Linked DNA regions of Struthio camelus. The protein of the gene in region 2 interacts with the protein of the main gene of each other region in a pairwise test. Links are inferred from orthologs where the notes say so. Each region holds a gene or a part of one and is shown on either strand. Other genes may lie near its edges. The genes, in order: AHCY and ANKRD40.

The links.
Region 1: the proteins of ANKRD40 (region 2) and AHCY interact in binary tests that used the Homo sapiens proteins (3 or more experiments, as listed by UniProt). The two-hybrid records come from large-scale screens. The link is inferred for Struthio camelus from reciprocal best matches to the Homo sapiens genes ANKRD40 and AHCY.

Annotation. Positions count from the first base shown.
Region 1 is NC_090959.1:3,731,388-3,740,932, forward strand, and holds the start of AHCY (adenosylhomocysteinase), read right to left. Parts: upstream 4,605-9,545; 5' UTR 4,496-4,604; coding exon 4,468-4,495; intron 4,288-4,467; exon of another isoform or gene 4,122-4,287; intron 2,773-4,121; coding exon 2,582-2,772; intron 1-2,581. UniProt on the Homo sapiens protein: Catalyzes the hydrolysis of S-adenosyl-L-homocysteine to form adenosine and homocysteine. Binds copper ions.
Region 2 is NC_090960.1:7,424,495-7,434,567, reverse strand, and holds the start of ANKRD40 (ankyrin repeat domain-containing protein 40), read right to left. Parts: upstream 4,266-10,073; 5' UTR 3,928-4,265; coding exon 3,794-3,927; intron 608-3,793; coding exon 459-607; intron 1-458. Other genes in the region: LUC7L3 (luc7-like protein 3), read left to right, coding at 6,970-7,068.

The DNA.
Region 1 (9,545 bases), on a different chromosome or scaffold from region 2:
ATCTTCAGGAAGTGCACAGCATGGCTGGTTTAGAAAGTCTGGGTCAATAAAGTTCAGATTTTCAGGAGAGCCACATAGCAAGTGTCCAGTGAGGAATGTGGACACACAGCAACACACCTGCTGGAACTCAGAAGGGTCAGAAATGCAGCTGAAATGCTACACTCGATCAACAGGCATTCTTTAAGATTATGCTCACCCAAATCCCACTCTGTGCTCCAGTCATGGAAGTTTTTCCAGCTGAGCTAAGCATTTTCTACATAGATTTCATAACTAGGCTCAGGCACCTAGAAAAGCAACAGCATGTCGCTGAGTTGCATGGAAAAGTATCTGTGTACCTGCTGCAACACACCAGCTCCCTAGAAAGTACTGTATCTGACAGCCACACGCTTGAGTTCTTGCTCTATCCCTGACAGGGCTGACTGGCAGGTATCTGCACACTTATTTATAACAAATCTTAAGGAGAGAGGGTAGTAAGGTATAATCCTTCATCCTGTTTTCACACACTCATCCAATTTTCTCAAAAATTGATACACTTCAGAGTGAGGCTACAGTAATAAGTTCTGTAGTTCCCCATTTGGGCCTACACAACCAGTGTTTGTTACTGAAAACATATCTGGAAGGAGTACAGGAAAAGTGAATTCATAAAGTTGAGCCCTCTACCTCCTCACTTGCATTTTTCTGAGCTCCCACGTCAATACAGATGCCATCAGGTGTCATGAAATTCCAGGTATACTGAAAACTTATATATTGTTTACACTTGAAGCAAGATACAAGCTACTTTTCAATTCTGCATCCTTAGATTTGTAACACCAGCTTGTGAAAAAGACACAGACCCAAGAACAACTGTCATACCTGATAGGCTCAGATACTAACATTTGTACCCTTATAGCTCCCTGGTTATGAAAAGGATACATTTCTACTACCCTTTTAGAACTCACGTGAACCCGAGGCACAGAGTGTTTATACCATCCTTGTTATGCCAGCCAAAAAAGGGATGACAAGTTCACTGTGCTGCACAGTGAGCTACATCCTCTTTCTTATCTCCTCCCTCCCAGGCACTGAAGTTCTGGCACAACAGATGAACCAGGGCTCAATCCAAATGGAAGTCTAAACCATCCTGTAGGCATCAGGACAAGATGGGAGCTCAATCAAGTCCCAAGCTAACATGGCAGCACACATCTTGGACAAGCAACCCTAACTTATCCTTAGAGGAACCAAAACACTGCAGGTACCTCCCCTAATAACTTGGATGAACCCCAGGTGACATTGGTGTGGCATTGCTCTCAGGTTAAAGCAGCTGGCAATGTTTAAGCACCCAGCTGCTGCCTAGGCCAGCCACGCTGGGAGACAGCAACTAACAAGAGCAGCAAGGAGCAAATTCAGTGGCTACTCCTCACTTAAATTCTGTGAGGGAATAAGTTTCCTATACCGAGCAGTTAGGATCAAGACCTCCAGGTCAAAGCTCCTTCTTCTTCTTCTAGCCTCCTTTAGTACTGCACTATTTACTACAGCAGAACAGTAACAGGCTGAAGAACACCTCCATGCAGAACAGCACGTAGCCTACAAGTATCCAGACCAATCCCACACTTTTTGAGGAAACGCTTTAACCTTTAGGCTGTTACAGAAAAGGGCTTCCCCTTCTTCCAAGGCCTTTTGATCAGTGTGACACTGCTCAAGGCTTAACCACGTCGGCACGCGCTCTCAGGAGGGAGGGATCCAGGCTCTAGATTGCACACAGGCAGATACACCTCTGGGCAGCCTAGGTCCAGGCAGCTAAACTTCAGGAAGAAAGGATTTCAGATGAAACACTCTGCTTAGCATAATCCATCATCAAGCTCCAGTCTGCTCCCTGCTCAGCAGGCAAGCTATTTGGACTGTGCTAAGAAGCCTAGCTTTCCCCTCATGCCCTGTATTACATTGGGACTTCATTCTGCAAGCCAGGCAGAGGGCATGATGCAGTAGATGGCTTATAAGCGTCTCAGCCTTGAATACAGACCGAGGTAACTGGTCCAAAGTCGCACAGTGAATTTGGAGTCAGTGGAGTCCCGAGCTCCTGATCACTGAGCCACACTGTCTCCCTGTTGTTTTCCTGCATAGCTCAAGGGCCAGCAGGAGCTCAGATGGCTCCATTAGTTTTTGCTGACTTTACCAGGCCATGGTATGGTTCTTAATCCAGGTTAATCTGCGCTGCAGGCAGTCCCTACACATTCAGCATTACCAGCATACCAGCCACAGCAGCGCGTGCCTGAACACAGCACAACTGTGCGGGAGCAGGTTTTGGCACAGCTCCTCAGGGTGCTGTATAGACAGCTGCTTACAGGCCAGAGGAGGGTGCTGAAGCCACCAACCCCACCTTGGAAGGGGCGTCAGGAAGATGCAGCTTGTCTGCACCCCAAAGGCACGTGCATTCCAGGCGACAAGCCTTTTGCTGAAGACGTCCACCTGGAGACCGCAGCGTGGTCTCTTCTCATAAGCACAGAAACCTGCCAGGATCCCCTAGGGTAGTTACATAAACAGAAGCAGTGCCCTAGGCAGAGCATTACCTAAGAGCACACCGAAGGAAAAACTACAGATACTTTACCTCAGCTCCCAGCTCTATAAGGGTCTCTATGAGAACTGCCGTCTGCACAGTCATATGAAGGCATCCTGCGATACGTGCACCTTTCAGTGGCTTCGATGCAGCATACATCTCCCGCATCTTCATCAGCCCTGGCATCTCATTCTCTGCAATCTCAATGGCCTTGCGACCCCAGTCTGCAAGGCCGATGTCAGCTGCAAGCAAAGGAGGGCAGGTGTTGGAGTTCAAATAGCTGAGGCCTTGGTATCTACTCACACACTTGCACATAGCACTGGCTGCAACAGCTGAACTGGACACCCAACAGCTGGGAGACAGTTGAAGGAAAAACAGACCCCATCCCTGTTTCTCCCCGAGTACTGCCTTTGTACTTTGGTACACAGGCTTTCAAGCTAGCGTAAACCACAACATGACTGGATGTTCAGAGGCCCTGAGGCTCGGTAATTCAGTAGGCCCCTAGCCTTAACCACCCCTCCTTACAAACGCTGCCCAAACATCTGACGCTTCTTATTGAAGTTTGCTTCCACAGTACTATGACTTGCAGGGGCAGAGGCTACCTGTTCGGCAACGGCTTCCCCACCAAGGGCTCCAGGTGCTGAGCCCAGTCCAGCTCCCCCTCCTCCTTCCCCGTCAAGCAGTAAGCTCCAGTGCTCCTGGACCCTTTGCTCCACAGGGATAATTTTCCAGGCACCTGGAAAACTCTATCCCTAACCTTGTGAAAAAAGGTCTGCAGCGGGAAAGTTCACCAGAAACTGAGTAAAAGAGATTTCCAAGAGTCTAGCTAGGGGCAGAAAACCCAGCTCTCACAGCGGATCTGCACGCCCAGCCTTACCTACAAAGGCAACAGGCTGAGCGGCTGATGCCTGGCTGCGCCATTCTGCGGCGCCAGCCAACGCCGAGTGTCACCGGTCCTTCGTCACCTCATTCGGAGAAGCTTTTTGGGGCCTTCCCGGTTTGATTAAGAACACGGTCAGACAATTTGCTTTCAGCTACCTAGCGGACACCGTCCATTCAAAGCGTTAAGGAAAACTAGGCCGCCTGAGTCGGACTGCCTGGTTTAACACAGGCAAGATAACTGTGTTTGGTTCCAGAAGGAAGCCTGGGGGCCACCAGAGCCATTGGCTACTTTTTAGCTGACTGGTGCGTGACCTTCGCACCAATGCAGGACACAAAAAAAAGCACAGGAAATGGAAGGGCTGTAGGAATCATAATGACAAGAGAGGGGTTCGCTAAATCCCAATCCCTTTTCAGGTCTCAGCAGTTTTACTAGGGCTCCCAAAAAAAAAAGCTCTAGACCGTTTTGGGTTCACCGCCCACGCTCTTTCCTCAAAGGCGAATTCTCGGTGTATTTGAACCTTACGGCCCAAAGTTCCTGCCGTTGCATTCAGCCTTCACAGAAGCCACAACTCGGGGGGGGAGGGGGAGAACAGTTTTTTGGGGAAGGTCTCTATTCAGAGAAACACCGCAATCCGCAGGGAGGCACGTAAGGCAGCTCCCCGATTTAAGGGCACTGTCGCGCTTGCAGGGGGCCTGCGCCCCCAGGGGAGGGCTCCTGCTGGGCTCGGCGGCAGCCCGCGCCGCCGCCTCCGGCCGCTCCGCACAGGGCGGCAGCCGCTCCCCAGAGCCCGCCCCGCCCCGGTGCTCCCCGACTCCTTCTCCGCCGGGGCTGAGGTAACACGAAGGCTCGGCCAGCCCCTTCCCGCGCCTTGGAGGTTTGTTTTTAAGGCTTTCGTGCTGGGGACCGCGCTCCGCCTGCCGCCGCTCCCCGCGCGGCAGCTGCCATCTTCCCGCCGCCGCCGCGGCCCGTGGCTCCCAGGGCCGCGGCAGGCCGGGCCCGGGGCGGCGCGCCTTCCCCGGCGCGGCACCGCGGCGGCCGCCGGACCCGCACTCACCCACTTTGTAGGGCAGCTTGTCCGACATGCCGGCGGGCAGCGCGGGCCGCGGCGGGCGCAGAACAGGAGGCGGCAGCGGCGCCGAGCGCGCTTTAAGTAGGGGCGGCGCCGCCGCCGTCGTGGGGCGGGCCGGGGCCGGGGCCGGGGCCGCGGACGCGCCGCGCCGCCACGTGCGCGCTCGGGGCCCGGCGGCGGGGGCCGAGCCGCGCCGCGCCGCCTCCAGAGCACTGCGAGGCGCAGCCGGGGCGGGTCGGCCCGGGTGCGCGGCGGCGGCGGCGGCGGCGGCGGCGGCGGCGGCGGCGGCGGCGGCGGCGGCGGCGGCGGCGGCGGCGGCGGCGGCGGCGGCGGCGGCGGCGGCGGCGGCGGCCCAGCCTGCACCAGGGCGGCCTGGCTGCCCCCACCGCCCCTCCCCTCGCGGCCAGGACGATGCCCAGAGGCCTCCCGCCCCCCCCGGTCCCACTGCAGCCGCGGACGCTCCCTCTCTCCCTGGAGCCAGAGCGCGCCCCAGACCCACGGGCAGGCTGCGGCGCCCGGGACGGGCCCAGGGCCCTCCCCGGCTGTGCCAGAGCCGGTCTTGGAGGGCCCCAGAGCCAGAGCAGGCTCCAGGGCAGGCCGTGATGCCCCCTGGTAGCACAGCAGGGCCAGGGCCGTGCCAGAGCTCACCAGTACCGGAACTGGCCGCAGGGCAGTGCCAGCACAGGCCTTGGAGCCCCCCCGTAGCAAAGCAGAGCCCAGGACAGGCCTTGGATCCCCCCAGCGCCAGGGCAGGTGCTGGAGCCCCCTGGTACCAGAGCAGGCGTCAGGGCAGGCCGCTGAGCCCCCCGGTACCAGAGCAGGCCGCAGGGCAGGCCTTGGACCCCCCAGAACCAGAGCAGAGCCCAGGGCAGTGCCAGGGCAAGCCTTGGGGCCCCTGGTGCCAGGCCATGCCCAAGGCAGGCCTTGGGGCCCCCCCAGCAGCAGAGCAGACCCCACAGCAGTGCCAGGGCAACCCTCAGAGTCCCCCCGCCGGCGCAGGCCCTCTGGCAGCACCTGGGCAGGCCTCGGAGCCTCCCAGTAGCAGAGAAGGCCCCCGGGCACCAGAGCAGGGTCGTGGAGCCGCTGCGGGCTCTGGCCAGGCAGCACAGCCCGGCCTGCTCTGCTGCGACAGGCTTCTCGCGGGGCAGCCTCTTCCGCAGGCCTCTGCCCGCGATGCTGCAGTAGTGAAACGGTACGCTGCTGGTGCCGAGGCACGCCGCTGCAGGCACTGAGTCACTCTTCTGCCTGAACCTTGGACTTGGCTGAAGCACGTCCTTGTTTCCAGCGTCCAGCGAACGAGCCAGTTCGCCAGGCGCAGGAAGATAAGAGATCAGGCAGGCCTGTTGGCCGCCACGGCACAGCTCTGCCCACGGCAGTAACCCATGCACGCTGCGCTGGCAGGAGGCAAGGTCCTTTCTCAGCCTCGTCTAAGGGTCACACATACGTTGGCTTTGCTCTTACTCCTGCTCTAACACGTGAAGCACGTTTCTGACAAGTCTCAGTCATAAACTGGGGCGAATTTTGCAGCCGGTATGTTACATAATAGGTTCACCTCTTCTTTTTCTGTGTAATATTTACAAGCAGATGAGGATTTCCTCATGCTTTCTCAGTAATTCTCACTTAATTATTTTGCAAAGTTTGAAATAATCCTCTGAGTGGATCAGCGCAGAGTTTGTCTCTGCTCCCTATTTCTGAGGTTCAGTATTTGTTACCTGAGTAACAATTTATCTTCTGTGACTGGTCCCACAGAGAGCAGTTCAAATGGAGATGCAGAAGTCCCAGCGGGAAACCTGTAGTTATATAGCCGGTATATGTGCAAGTGCTAATATTCATGTTTGATGTTCTGAGCGCTAGCAGGGCATACGATCACATCCGATGCCATGCTAAGCAGTTATGTAAGTCAGAAGGTCCCCCAGGGGACTAACAGGCCAGTTCCTCTGGGACAGGTTCACCTAATTCTGTCATGCCTCGCTCTTTCCAGAGAAGACAGCAGTAGGGAGCTCATTTGTTTGTGTATGTTACTAACAACCCTTTGTCACAGCTCCAGTACACTGGCTCGCATCAGTGGGACAGCAGTTTAGGTTCTGGTAGTTCCCCACGCACTGCCCAGATACCTACACCAAGGCTGTATCTACTAGCAGGATGCAGCTTCTGCATGTCTCTGCCTGCCAGCCTCTGCAGGCATGTAAATGAGGGACTTCCCAACAGACCTATTTTGTACCGTGTGCCCTAAAGGCAGCAAAACACTCCACGCATGCCTTGTATAAGATGCCAGCCCACAGCCTCCCCAGCAAACCTGATTGTCGGTTGGTCGGTTATAGCAAATGTCTTTATGTACTTTCCCACAGCAACGCCGACACATAAAATATCCTTCTTAAATTAATCAGCAAGGCCAGGACAAAGACATCATTTCATGTAACTCCTACTAATTTCAGCTCAAGACATACTTTCCTGTGAAGGCTGAAAGGAACCAGCCACCTGATTGCAGATAAGCCAAAGAGTGGGTAGTCAGAATTGATATGCATTTATTAAATGAGGACAGATCAGCCCCACCTAGAATGAAGATGCTCCATCACTTGACAAAATATTTCCAGTTGTTTATAACTCTGCATAAAGAGTACTTGAAGACAAGTGAAGTTAGCTGCCGTGTTTGCCCTGAGCCTTTGATTTAAGAGATAAAGGTAGAGATAAAAGAGAGAAAAGATAAAGACCTGATATCATTGCTTTATGCTATATCTTAATTTAGAAAGTCAGTGCCTCAACTATTCATGTACACCCTGGATCCCCTCATTGTTACTGTCACTGGTGGATTTGGGACACCAGATGGCACAAGATAGGTACGAAATGGCAGGGAGTAGGATGGAGTGAAGCAGAGGGAACAGGGGAAAGAACAGAAGAGTCCAAAAAGCAATCTGTAGCAGGGTACACGAAACAATAGCAGGATGTTTTTCATGTTATACATCCTGCTACTGTTTCATTTACTGTAGTAATTCAAATAGGGAAGTTCTGGGCTGTAAATTTAAATATCCTAGGGTCACTGGAAAGCTGTGAAACTCAGGGAAAAAAACCTTTTCCTTCATAATGACGTTATGACATTTTGCAGAATTTTAAGAAAAGATTCGGCTCAAAAGGCTTGGTTAGGAAATACTGTCGATTTCAAGAGCAGGAGAAAACATCAGTCTAAACTTCTGTATAATACAGGTGGTATTTCATGCAGGTACGCTATACTCAGACAGTTAATTGCTTGACTAGGGCAAATTATACGTTATATACATTATAATAAGCATATTATGCAATCCGAGAGCTTCTTTTATAAAGAGAATGCCATTATTTGTTCAACAAGATTCTCATCTGGTAGTGCACTGGGATGGCCAGTGTTGAGTATGAATTAGAAGCATACAGTAAATGAGGCTGTTGTCTGTAGGACTTCAATTTGTCACAGCAGATAGAAGATGTGTATCATATATGATTAAGGAGTGCTGGGGGAGTATGGAGAACTGCATTCTACCCCAATCTCAGCCCAGCCACCCCTTTGTGGCACTGGCTCAGTCTCTTAGGACAGGCTTTGCATGAGCAATCGTTAATTGACTATTCCTCATTTTCCAGACACCTGCCTTAAAAAAACCTCACACCACATTTTATTTGGCACATAGGCTCAAGCCATGACCTGACTCCGGCTTTCACAGGTTTTACATAAGCTTGAGAGGCAGCAAGGGGAGAAAGCGTGGCTCACACTTAGTGGTATCTGCAGATCAGCCCACAGCATCTAACCCACACCAGCTACCATGTAGCCTGTCACCCCTCCCCATGACGTCAGGTGGCCGATAACAAGTCACACAATCTCTCACCACTGCAGACCTTGTGGACCTTGTGGCAGAGGTGGTATGTGGGATGCCCAAGGTCAGGCTGTCCTTAAGATCAGGTTGCTGGACACAATGCACCCAAGCTACAGGCATCCCGGAGCCTACGAGGAGCAGGCTATGCTCTTTCCTGTTCCTTAGTCAACGTTCTGCCAGGCAAAGCGGGCTGAAGTCCAGAGTACATCACTGAGCTTAGAAAATGCTGCACAATGCTAAATACTCTCACAAATCAAACCCTATATGTCTCAAAGTGGTACCCACAAGCAGTGAGAACATTTGATGTTATATTCTGTACCTCAGCTTTCCCTTACCTATAAAATGAGAAAATCATTCTGCTCACCCACAAACTCACACACACGTACTGCAAAAATAAGTTCATTTCTGTCTATGAAGCACTAAGATGTTGTGGTGGTAGCATCCAGGAGCACCCCTAAGGAAACGAATGTTGTTTTATCCTGCATAAGGGTTTGATGAAAAGCAGTAAAGAAGAACCATCGTACTGAGTGATGCATATAAAGTAGGTGCTGGGTAACTACCATTTCCCCAAGCATGAGCCATTCTGTGCAATAAGGCAGAGACACTGTCTGATGATCCAGGTAGACTGTATTGCGGTAAATGTCACAAGGTGCCTAATGAAGGCCCTGACGGTGACGGGCATCTACTAAGTGCTTTGCTCTGTAGGCTTTATGTTCTCTTAGCCAGAGCCAACAGCAGGTTTGTGAAGGCCCCAGCCAGCAGCTGAAGGTTGTAGCAGCCTTCTTAGATGCATGCTGGCTAACTCATACTGCTAATTTAGCTTAGTAGGGGTCCCATGTGGTCTAGAGCCGTTGTTGTTCATGCTTAAATTAGCTTTTAACATAAGGCATAGATAGCATATGCATACACTTATAATACTCACAAACGTGTATTACAGCTCAGGCTGCGAGTAAGCTCTCCCCACCTGCCTCAAGCATAAAATCTGAGACATGTTGCCGTATGTGTTTGCATAAAGTCCTTCATGTGGTTTCACATTCGCTATCATCCTGTGCAGCCATATAGATAACAGCGGGTTTCTAGTTCAACTTTGAGTTACACTATCTCAATCCACAGAAGCGTGTATATCACTGCAACTAGCACTAACATTATTATGATAATACGATTTGTCCCACTGATGTTAAGTTCAACACATTCCAGATTCAATACAGCTGATTTTCTCCTCATAGG
Region 2 (10,073 bases):
AATGCTCTAGCAAGGTACTTTATTGAGCTGCTTCTCTAGGATGCTAATTTTCCATTTACTCAACACAGCATCTAAACTCCATAAAACACCAGGAACGTTAGGTATTGGTCATCTACTGCAAGAGCTTCAGACAACTTTGAGAGATTTTTCCTCTATTTGCTTCTTCTGAAAACATCAAGCTGCATCTACCTGCAATCGATTTACTAATACGGTTTTTCAAAATACAATTTTTTCAGGTTTTTTTTTTCCCCCGTGTTTAGAAAAAAGCTGGGTTACCTGCGTATGGAGTTTTTTGGTAGCCCTCTTTCTCTAAATTGTGATTTCTCGCTAAGTAAACGCTCACTCACAAAAACTTTCACAGTATCGTCACACGTAAAATAACCCAGGAGCGTAATTGCTCTCAACAGCCTTTTACTGTCGTCTTCAGAGATGGTATATGATATAACCAGTAGCTTTACCTCCCAGCATCTTCCGAATCTCCCTCCTGGAAGTCAACTGGACGGGCCGTTCTCCTTTCCTTGTGCGAATCTCCTTGTCGGCCCCGGATCGCAGCAGGTAGGACACCACTTGCGCGTGGTTCCTTTTACACGCCCAGTGCAAACAAGTCCTGCACACGGAAAACGGCAACGCTCTTTGAAATACTCGATTACAGCACATACGTTTCATGCATTCCTGCTGCATATAGGAAGCACAAGACCCAATGCATGTCTAGCATAAAAAAAGCTTTTAATAGCTACGGTCCTTGCAGATTCACACCGTTTCTGGAGCCTGCAGTGACACCTGCTGATCTGGTTTTTTTCCCTCGCGATAATGCTCTTGATATCAAGTTACTATAGCAATAGTTTTCAAGATCTTTTTAGGTTTTCATGTATGAGGCTATTAACTTTTATTGAAAATAAATATAAAAAGAAGGCTTATTTATTTGTTTAATCTTTGAAAGAATAAGTTATTCTTCAAATACTTTTGTGTGTATGTGAGCTAACATGCAGCTTCTCGAGGGTGCTTTTTTTTTTCCACTTTAATCAATGCAGTCAGTACGGCGATGTGCACCTTTCTGAAAGTAAATTACTTGGAAAATATTCTAGTTCTTTGCCTAGTTGCTATTCACCGCACCAGCAGACTCCAAGCTTTATGCTGCAGACAACTAGCGCTCTGCAGTGAGCTTGTGGTTGGCAACCTGTAACTGATGCACTGAACTGATCGCTTTTCTGGTTTTTTTAATTATTATTGGCAGTCACTGACCTGGAAAGACATAGTAAAGAAACATCCTCAACGCTACTTAGCTTATTTAGTGCTTAGTATTAGTATTAAGGACTTAATAGTCTTCTATATTAAAACTTGTTGTACAGCCTTACCGTTCCTCCCTATCTGGGGGTCTAGCGGTGTTTGAGCTTTCTCTAGCTCTTACTTTAATACTCTAGCTCCAGCCAAGGAAAAGTCTTTGGATAAATTAAAACTCTTTTATCTTTCTTCAGTTTTTTAAAGGACTAAATAAAATAAAACAGAGATTAGAAAACAAACTTATAAGGATAAAAAAGTTTCAATTGAAAGTCCAGCTTCAAAAGCTTTTTTTTTGGGGGGGTAAGGAAGAGACGCAGTCGTCACACAACAAAGCTGTCTCTTGATCAGTAACTCCCAACTTTGTATGGGCGTAAAGGAGAAAAGAAAGAATCTGATCTGTAGGGGTACAAATTAGGTTAAACCAAGAGAAGACAAAGTAATTTGTAAAGCCCTGTTCATTGGTATATGTTCCAACTTAATTAAACCCATCTTAGCAGAAGCAAAAGGCATCATTCTACATTTCTTATTACTAGAATTAATGCGTCTCGATGGCAGAAAGTCTCTCTGAATTAAAGGTAATGGGACTAGTCACTGCAGCAAGCAACATTGCCTAGAATTAGATCTGACTGAAGAAACATGGTAAGTGTATGTATGCATATATATTTTTTCTTTATAGCCTATCATAGGACATGGGTTATAAATTTTATGTTTTAAAGGGGGGATACAGCTAATAATACTGTAAAATCCTGTATTTTCGCTCCACGATTGGGCTGTGCATTTCAGCCAAAAAGTGCCATTTTTAAAATGGCATAACATAATTTTGTCAGCAGAACGTAGTCCTGAATTTTTGACACCAAAGATCCCTCAGTATCTGAGACAAGCTTCCTGAAACTCGGACCGAGTTTGTTTAGTTTTGCTGTGTCATGCTTTTTGGACTTTTCACAAATCTCTCCTTGTTTCGCGTGTGAATAGTTTGCATGGATTCAGAAGCAGCGCACTGCCAAGTCGTAGCTAGTTTAGACCAAAGCAGCGAGAGAACACGCAGGCAGCGCGGGGATGTTTGCTTTCCCTGCTTAAACGAGGATGCTCCATTGAGAATTACACACTATTTCCTCTATACTGAACGCCAGAGACTTCAGCGGGACCCTGCACGCGTGTAAAACTCGAGGGTTTAGTTTGCTCAGAAGATACGCGAGCCTCAGCGGCGCTGCCTCATTTTGGAATTCGTTCTGACCATCGCACGTGGCTTTAGCAAGGTCTCATGCGGAGAGGTACCAGCTACCCCCCCAGATCCAACACACACCAAAACGCACGTATCCAGCACCCCCGAGCATCAGACTCATGGAAAAGGTCATTCCAGCGATTTAAATTCTACAAGCAAACCTAAATAACAGTGAAGATCCATTTACTGTCATAGTCAAAAATGACCAGATCGTTATTTCTGAAAATAATTCTTTTTTTTTTTTTTAATTTATTGTTTCTTCCATCAATGCCAGTTTTAGATAGAAACTCATTTGGATGGCCAGCAACTACTTCTCTTGCACATGAATATAATTTATGCTCTTAGGAATCACTTTGCAGAAGTTATTACAAGCTCTGATTTTAATCACAATTTGAACCGCAAGTTGCAAGCGTTCCATGCTGCTGACGACTACTACTGGCGCTCTAATCTTTAGAATAGCAGCTTCTTTCCTAATTTTGTTCTTCCTATTTTTAATTAAAACCTCAAGCGCAGTACAGCATGGTAAATACACACTGAATTCAACTTGAGGAAAACAGCCTTCAAAAACGCCTGAGCGTTCCCTGCAGCTCCCGCTTCAAATGGTACCGTGTGCGTGTTCATTCACGTATATAGTCCCGCCTGCACAAACGCGTATTATTACCAAAAGGACTTCGTTTTAGTGTCACTAGGTGGTATTTGAATGAGATGTCAGAACTAAAAGTATTTTAGGGACATCACCGAAACAGCCTGCAAGTTTGCTGATGAAAGTGCAGTCACTTTAGAGCCTGATTTGGAAGTTAGCACGAATTAAGTCCGGTTATAAATTAATATATCTTGGCAAGCTGAGGTTTATTTTTTGATAGCTATGTTACGGTGCTGTCTTAGGCTGCCAGCATTCCCTTTCCAAAAAAATAAACAATATAAAGTAACAACGACCTGAAGAAGGATCAAACACCAAAGGAACAAAAATAGCGGGTGGGACGAGAGTGCAAATTTATAAAGCAATTATCAGCTCCAGCAGTATTTTTTTTCCTTTTTGGCGTAGTGAGAGGTAGCTATAGGGAAGAGCATTTGGCAAGGCGTTGAAGAAGCACATTTTTAATTTCATCCCAAATTCACACCGGTCATGATGCGCGTATTTCAGCTGAAAGAGAAAAAAATCCGCAGTAGCGTATGCCTAGTCAAAAACAAAACAAAAAGGGTAAACAAACTCATCTCTACAGCCTCAGGAGCCCTCGGTTCCACTCGTCCTGGAGACGACCCGCTCCGGCTCCCGCTCGGCAGCCTTACCAGCCGTTGATGTCATTCTGGGAGTTCAGGTTCACCCCCAGTTCCACCAGCCGCTGAACTTCCTCCGCGTCCCCCAGCGCCGCCGCCTCTCTCAGTCTCTCCTGCAGCTCCTTCTCCTCTACCAGGGCTGTCATCTTGCTGGAGCCTCGGACCAGACGCGGGTCTGGTGGAGGAGCGCTCTAACCGGGGCGATCTCTCATGCTGCCAACCTCGCAGACCGGGCAGCTCCGCAAGCACAAAGTGTCTCGTGCCCTTTGTCGGTTTTAAATTTGGATGCAGAGTGACTTTCTGTGTGCTAGCCTTAAATCAAGCCCAGGGACCTACTGCCAAAGGACATTATAACAAACACGCTTGCAGGGTGTCCGGAGCATCCCCCTTTCCTAAACTCTTCCAGGGGGACTCTATTATCTGTGACAACTCTGACCTAGATATTTAGTTCCTACGAACAGCCTTGCGTGCGAGTCATGGCTGCTGCGATTTTACAGTCGGGATGATTTATTAGCCACATACGGGTACGTGGCAATTTTAAAGTACCAAACTATTATTTAATGTACAGGCAGCTGTATAACGCACAGCATCTCCTGCTCTGTTGCTTGTGCTTACAGGCTCCAGAATCGCACGACTGCTCTGTCTAGGAAATTCTCATCATCGCTGAGAATTCGCGTTGCAATTAATTAAGCCCTTAATAACTCCAAGGCTACCTGCAAAGCATTTGCAAAGATTACAGGCAGTTCCTGTAATTCACCGTATTTGCTTTAAAAAGTTGATTTTGATCACTGTTGATTTGTCCTAAGCTAAGTTACGGAAGAGCGAAGAGCTAGTAAAAATTTCACAATTATAAAAACTCAAAAGAATCATTTCTGTCTCCAGCCAGACATCTAACGAAACTACACCATTTCTAGTCTAGTATGCTCTAGGAGCGCACTCTGGGGAAATTTGCAATGGTTAGGCTGATCCCAGTTCAGCAGCCAGGGTACCTGGCTGGTGTTTTGATGCTATGGGAGCAATATAAAGCCGAAACGCAGAACAACTCTGGCCCCCTTTTCTAAAGCAAACATCCACCTTCCATCCCCCTCAAAACCCCAAACTGTAGAATTTTTAAGATTTAAGATACGTGTAAGTGGGGTCGCACTGATTTCAGCTACACTCTTACTTACAACAATTCAAATGGGTAATTAAATCACTATGAAATTGCAAAGATTAAAAAAAAAAAATGTAGTGCCTTACAGTGCTGGATATGGAAGTTTTATGGACAGAGTTCTGAACAGAAACTCTATGGACAACCCGTGAGTTTGCGTGAAGCCTTCAGTGATTGCAGCAGAGGTCTGAGCAAGACCAGCCATGAATTCTGTGTTTTTTTACAAGGTCAGCGCTAATACAGACTTCAAACTCTTAAAAAAAAAAAAAAAGCAACCAAGTTCAAGATTTTTAAACTAACATTCATACTACTTAATTATTCCTTGTCTTTTTTACTTCTTCCAGTATAAATGATGGAAATATAGACTAGTAGCACAGAGGAAATTTAAATCCAAACAAACACAAAATGTTAACGTACTAGATTTTTCGGGTACCTGAAAACGTCCATTATCTGCGAAACTATACCAAACCTCTGAAAGCACCAAGATGCCCAGCGTGAGCGCGCTCACCCGTGGCCAAGCCCTTCCCAGGCCACTAGAACCCTCTTTTTATTACAAGATAAAGCAGCATGATATTGGTTCTAAAATGAGCCCAACAGGAAATGACAAAGTAAGGGAGAGAAACATAGATGTTTCTCTTATACTGTGAATAGAGGGGAATATCTCTGATTAAAAACTTGATTAAAAACCCAGTCCTTGTTAGGTCCGTTTCGCTACGCTTCAGGAGTATCAGTATGGTCACGGTTCATAATTTTTACATGTGGAAAAATGCTGGGAATGAATGACTAAATGATCTATAAGCAGGTAGAGGATAATAGTTATAGGGGAAAAAAATGGATTTGTCAAGGGTAGGCAGACTGAGCTACTATAATTTTCTTACTTGGCAGGAAAATTGGTATAGAGGATAAGAGCAAAGCTGCAGGAGTGCCAATGGTAGATGTTCGGCCATAGTCCACAGCACTAATATTCTCATTAGCAAGTTAACGACTGACAGTACAAAAGAAATTTCTACAAAACCGACTAGCAGGCATTCGAAAAAAGCATATTCAAGAGAGGAGTTGGCAGGGATTGCATTAACTGAGGTACGAAAGGGGACTGTCCTCGTCTGGCGGTACTAAATAATTTGGCATACTTTGGGCAGTCAGAATGATTCTGAGGACTTGGAAAATGCTTTAGAATCAGTAAGGTAAAATTCAGTAAGGACAAGGCCCAGAGCCACACCTAGGCAAAAAAAGAAAAATACATCCAAAAATGAGCAGAAGCTGGTTGGGCGTTAATACCAGAGAAATTACACGGGGCTACAAACTGCGTATCGGTGCACCGTTAAAAAAAAAAGCTATTAAAAAATGCAAAAAACTGAGGAGACCCTTCCTGCGTTTGTGCAGTAACCAAGCCGGGAAGCTGGAATAAATCCACGCTTTCAGACTGCTATAGACGAACGGGAGGGAACCCCAAAAACAGGTAATAAAAATTAGAAGAGTTGTTTTAAAAAAAAAAAACCAAACCAAAGACCCATGAGAAAAAAATTAAAACGAACTGGGTTTATTTAAGGAGACACGCGTCTTGAAATCTGCAAGATGACTGAATAAAGTGAACGCTCATCAGTTAGTCTCCGTCCATGACGGGACAAGACATAACCGACCGGTACCGGGGCGAGGAAGGTTTTGGTCAGCTGTGAGGCCCCGTGCCCTCCCCGCCGGCCGGAGGGGCGCTCCCGGCGGGAATACCGTGCCCGGGGCCCTCAGGAAAGGCCCCGGCTCCCAGCCTGGCCACGTCCCGGCTGCGAGGGACGCCCCCCCGGCGAAGCCGCCGACCGCGGGGCAGCGCCGCCGCGGCCCGTCCCCGCCGCCATCGCGAGGCGGCGGCGGCCCCCGCCAGGCCCCAGAGGCGGTTAGCAGGCGCGCGGTGCATTGTGGGCAGGGCGAGGAGCGGCGCCGCCATTTTGTCTCTGTCACTCCAGCGGCGGCGCGGTCGAGTCGGGGAGGAGAGGCGGCGGCAGCGGCGGAGCCCGGCGGGGAGGTATTCGGCCAGGAAGACACCATGATATCGGCCGCCCAGCTCCTAGATGAGCTTATGGGCCGGGATAGAAACCTGGCCCCGGATGAGAAGCGCAGCAACGTGCGGTGGGACCATGAGAGCGTGAGTGAAGCGGAGCCGCCTCTCCCCCTCCCTCCCCTGGTCCCCCCCCCCCCCTCCGGCCGAGGGCCTGGGTCTTGTCGGCGCGACACGCACCGCGGGTGGGGGCCCGCGGAGGGGGAGCGAGGGGGCGCCGGGGTCTCGGCGGGGGAGGATCCGCGGAGGTTTAGCGAGAGGAGAGGGCCGAGGCGCCGGTGGAGCCCGTCGTGCGAGGCTCCCGCCCCGAGGCCGCGGGGCTCCTGCATGGCGGCCGCGGGGCGGCCTAGGCCCGCGCCGTTGCGCGGGAAGCTCGCTGAGCCTGCCCGACGAGGAGGAGGAACTGGGTGGCCGGGAGGGAGGAGGATCCCGCCATGGCTTAGCTGTGCGAGAGGGCTTGCGTTGTTATCAGGGCTGATGGGAGGAGAGAGGCCTTGTGTTTGGGTTTCAGCGTAAGGGGGAGAGGCTGTGTTCGCCTTGGCGTGCGCTCCCTGTCGCGTCGACAAATGGTAGTAAGGGTTTCCGAGAGGCCTGCCGATGGCTGAAATCTCCCGGGGGGGGAGGGGGGAACTGTGGGAAGCTGTAGTAGAAGCAAGAATTTCTTGGAGCCTGCTGGCTTGCATGAGGGGAGATAAGACAGGTGTTAGCGGTTTGAAAGACAAGTTTTCTCTGGATCTCTTCCTAACTGTGGTATTGGAGGAAACGGAAGAATACATTCATGCTAACTTAACTGTGAAGGTTGTAGCGCAGTGACGATCCAGAAGACTTTTGCAGCTGAAGATTTTTCAAAGTAAAAAACTTGATTGCTTCTGTACTTTCCCAAAGCTTACCTACTGCACTTCCGGGTGGGAGGGCTAAACCTAAACAGTATTGCTGTTATTTTTGTAGTACTTGAGAATTTTTTGTCAATGGGGTGATAACATCCATCTTCTGCTTTAAACTGCTCAAAAAGAAGAGGATTTTCTTATATTATTTTGGAGTGAGGTTTCTCCCCACGTGTGGTTAAATCTTAGTGGATATTAGCTTCTAGCGACATCCATTGTGGTTGGTATTAGAACTTATTTCACAAAAAAATCAGTAGTAATAACAAAGTTGCCATAGCTGCCCCTTTGGGTGACTTGAAAACTCTGAAACACTTCCCTCTACTCCCTTCCCCCTGTCGTGATGTATTTTTGTGCTGTGCTGTATTTTAAAAGAAAGAGAGAGTCCCAGTTCAGATAAGACAGTTCACTTATCTTTTGTGTGGTCGAAGTTGTTGTGGTTAAAGCTGCAGAAAGCATTTAGTTTAAATGTGTGGTGTTCCTCCCCCCTTAGCATTTTTTTCATGTTGTTAAGTTGGGAGGCAGGAGAAATGTTTGCTTTTGGCTTTTTAAAGTTGTGTCTGAATCACCAAGTTGGGAATTTCCCATTTTCAAACAAGAGTTACTTTATTTTAGAGCTGGCTAAACCAAGTTTTAATTTGTCTCAAAAACAACATGTAAGGACAAATACCTGTCTTGCTAGACTTTTGTAAATCCAAGCAATTTTTAATTCTCCTTGAAAAATGCTGTTATAGAGGTAAGCTATACGCATCAGGAGAAATTGAGCTCAGGAAGTTTTATTAATGAAATAATGTTTTTTTTTTTTTTCCTGACTTAATCAAGTGTGATTGTTCAGATAGGTGTTCAGTTACACATTTTCTGAGCTCTAAAAGGAAAGGAGTTGGTTAACCCTGGAAATAGGAAGTAAATGGCTTCGGGCATGTCCGTGCAGGTAGAGGAGATAAGGGGTTTCTCGTTTTATTTCTGAAGATGAGAAAGAATTTTTTGCCTCCTTCTCTTTAATCAAGTTAAGATGACTTAATCCTTAGCCTAAAATTGAAAAATAAACTCTTTTAAAATGTGTGACTCAAAACCATAGAAATCCATCTCTAAGATGCTGTTCAGTTTTGTTGTTTCAGAAACAGTGCCTTGTTTCTTCTTCTCAGTCCTCCCTTGATGATTTAGAAAGGGGAGAGCTGTCCCTGTCCTTGTTGAGGCCAGTAGGGGCTTAGAGTTGATCCTTCAGCCTAAGAGGAAATGTTGCTGTGTTCGTTCCGAGTTTGCTTCTTTTTTTTTAATGAAGTTTATATGAGCATCATTAAATGCAACCTTTCTGAAAGGGATGTTATCATAAATCCCTATAGTCAGTGGGCTAGTTCAGAACAAAACCTTTCCCGTGTTAAAACACAGAAATGTATTTTACTTTCAGCTTAAATTTGTGCATCGGTTTAATAAGGGTTTTGTTAGTAATGCTGACTTATTTTAGAAGTCAGGAAATGCAGATAAGGTTCAGCTAGCAACATTAGTTTGCCTGTTTATTGTTTTGTTTTTCTGGTTAAACATGTACATAAGTGTTGTTACTTGTGAAATTATACCTGTTATCAACACAAAGCCTTTTTCAATGTGAGCCTGTTGTATTCTCATTCCAAAATTTAAGATTTTATCAAGATTTCATAAATTTTAGATGTGGAAGGTTATAATTTCTATTTATCATTTGTAAATTACATTTAGGTAGATGTCACAACTTCTGTGGAAGATGGTGTGAAATGCACAACAGAAATAGGCTTTTGTGAAGCTGTGGAAGCAGCGTGTATGATAGCTGAGCGTTTATTCGCAGTTGTAATGAAAAGTGTGATGATCATCATGTATTGTAAAGCCTGTTGTATAGCTTAAGTTTTTACCTTAGAATTTTGACATGAGTAAAGCTTATAATCATAAAAAATTGAAATCCCAGTCGCTGTATGTTTCAGTCTTGCGATATATCTTGGATGATCAGCTTTAGGTTTGGCATAAAGGGTTTTTGTATGCAGCAGGAAATATTAATTAGATCTTGCATATTTTAATCTACTTTCTGCTTACTGCGATGTCAGTAGGTAAAGTACGTCTCTGGAACAGTAGCTTCAGAACTTTATTGGTTCATATATTTTTACTTTATTATGCTACCTGTTCACCTCAAAAAAAGTTCAATGCAAAAGTTCATATGTATTGTTAGAAAGTTCCCAGACTGTCTCA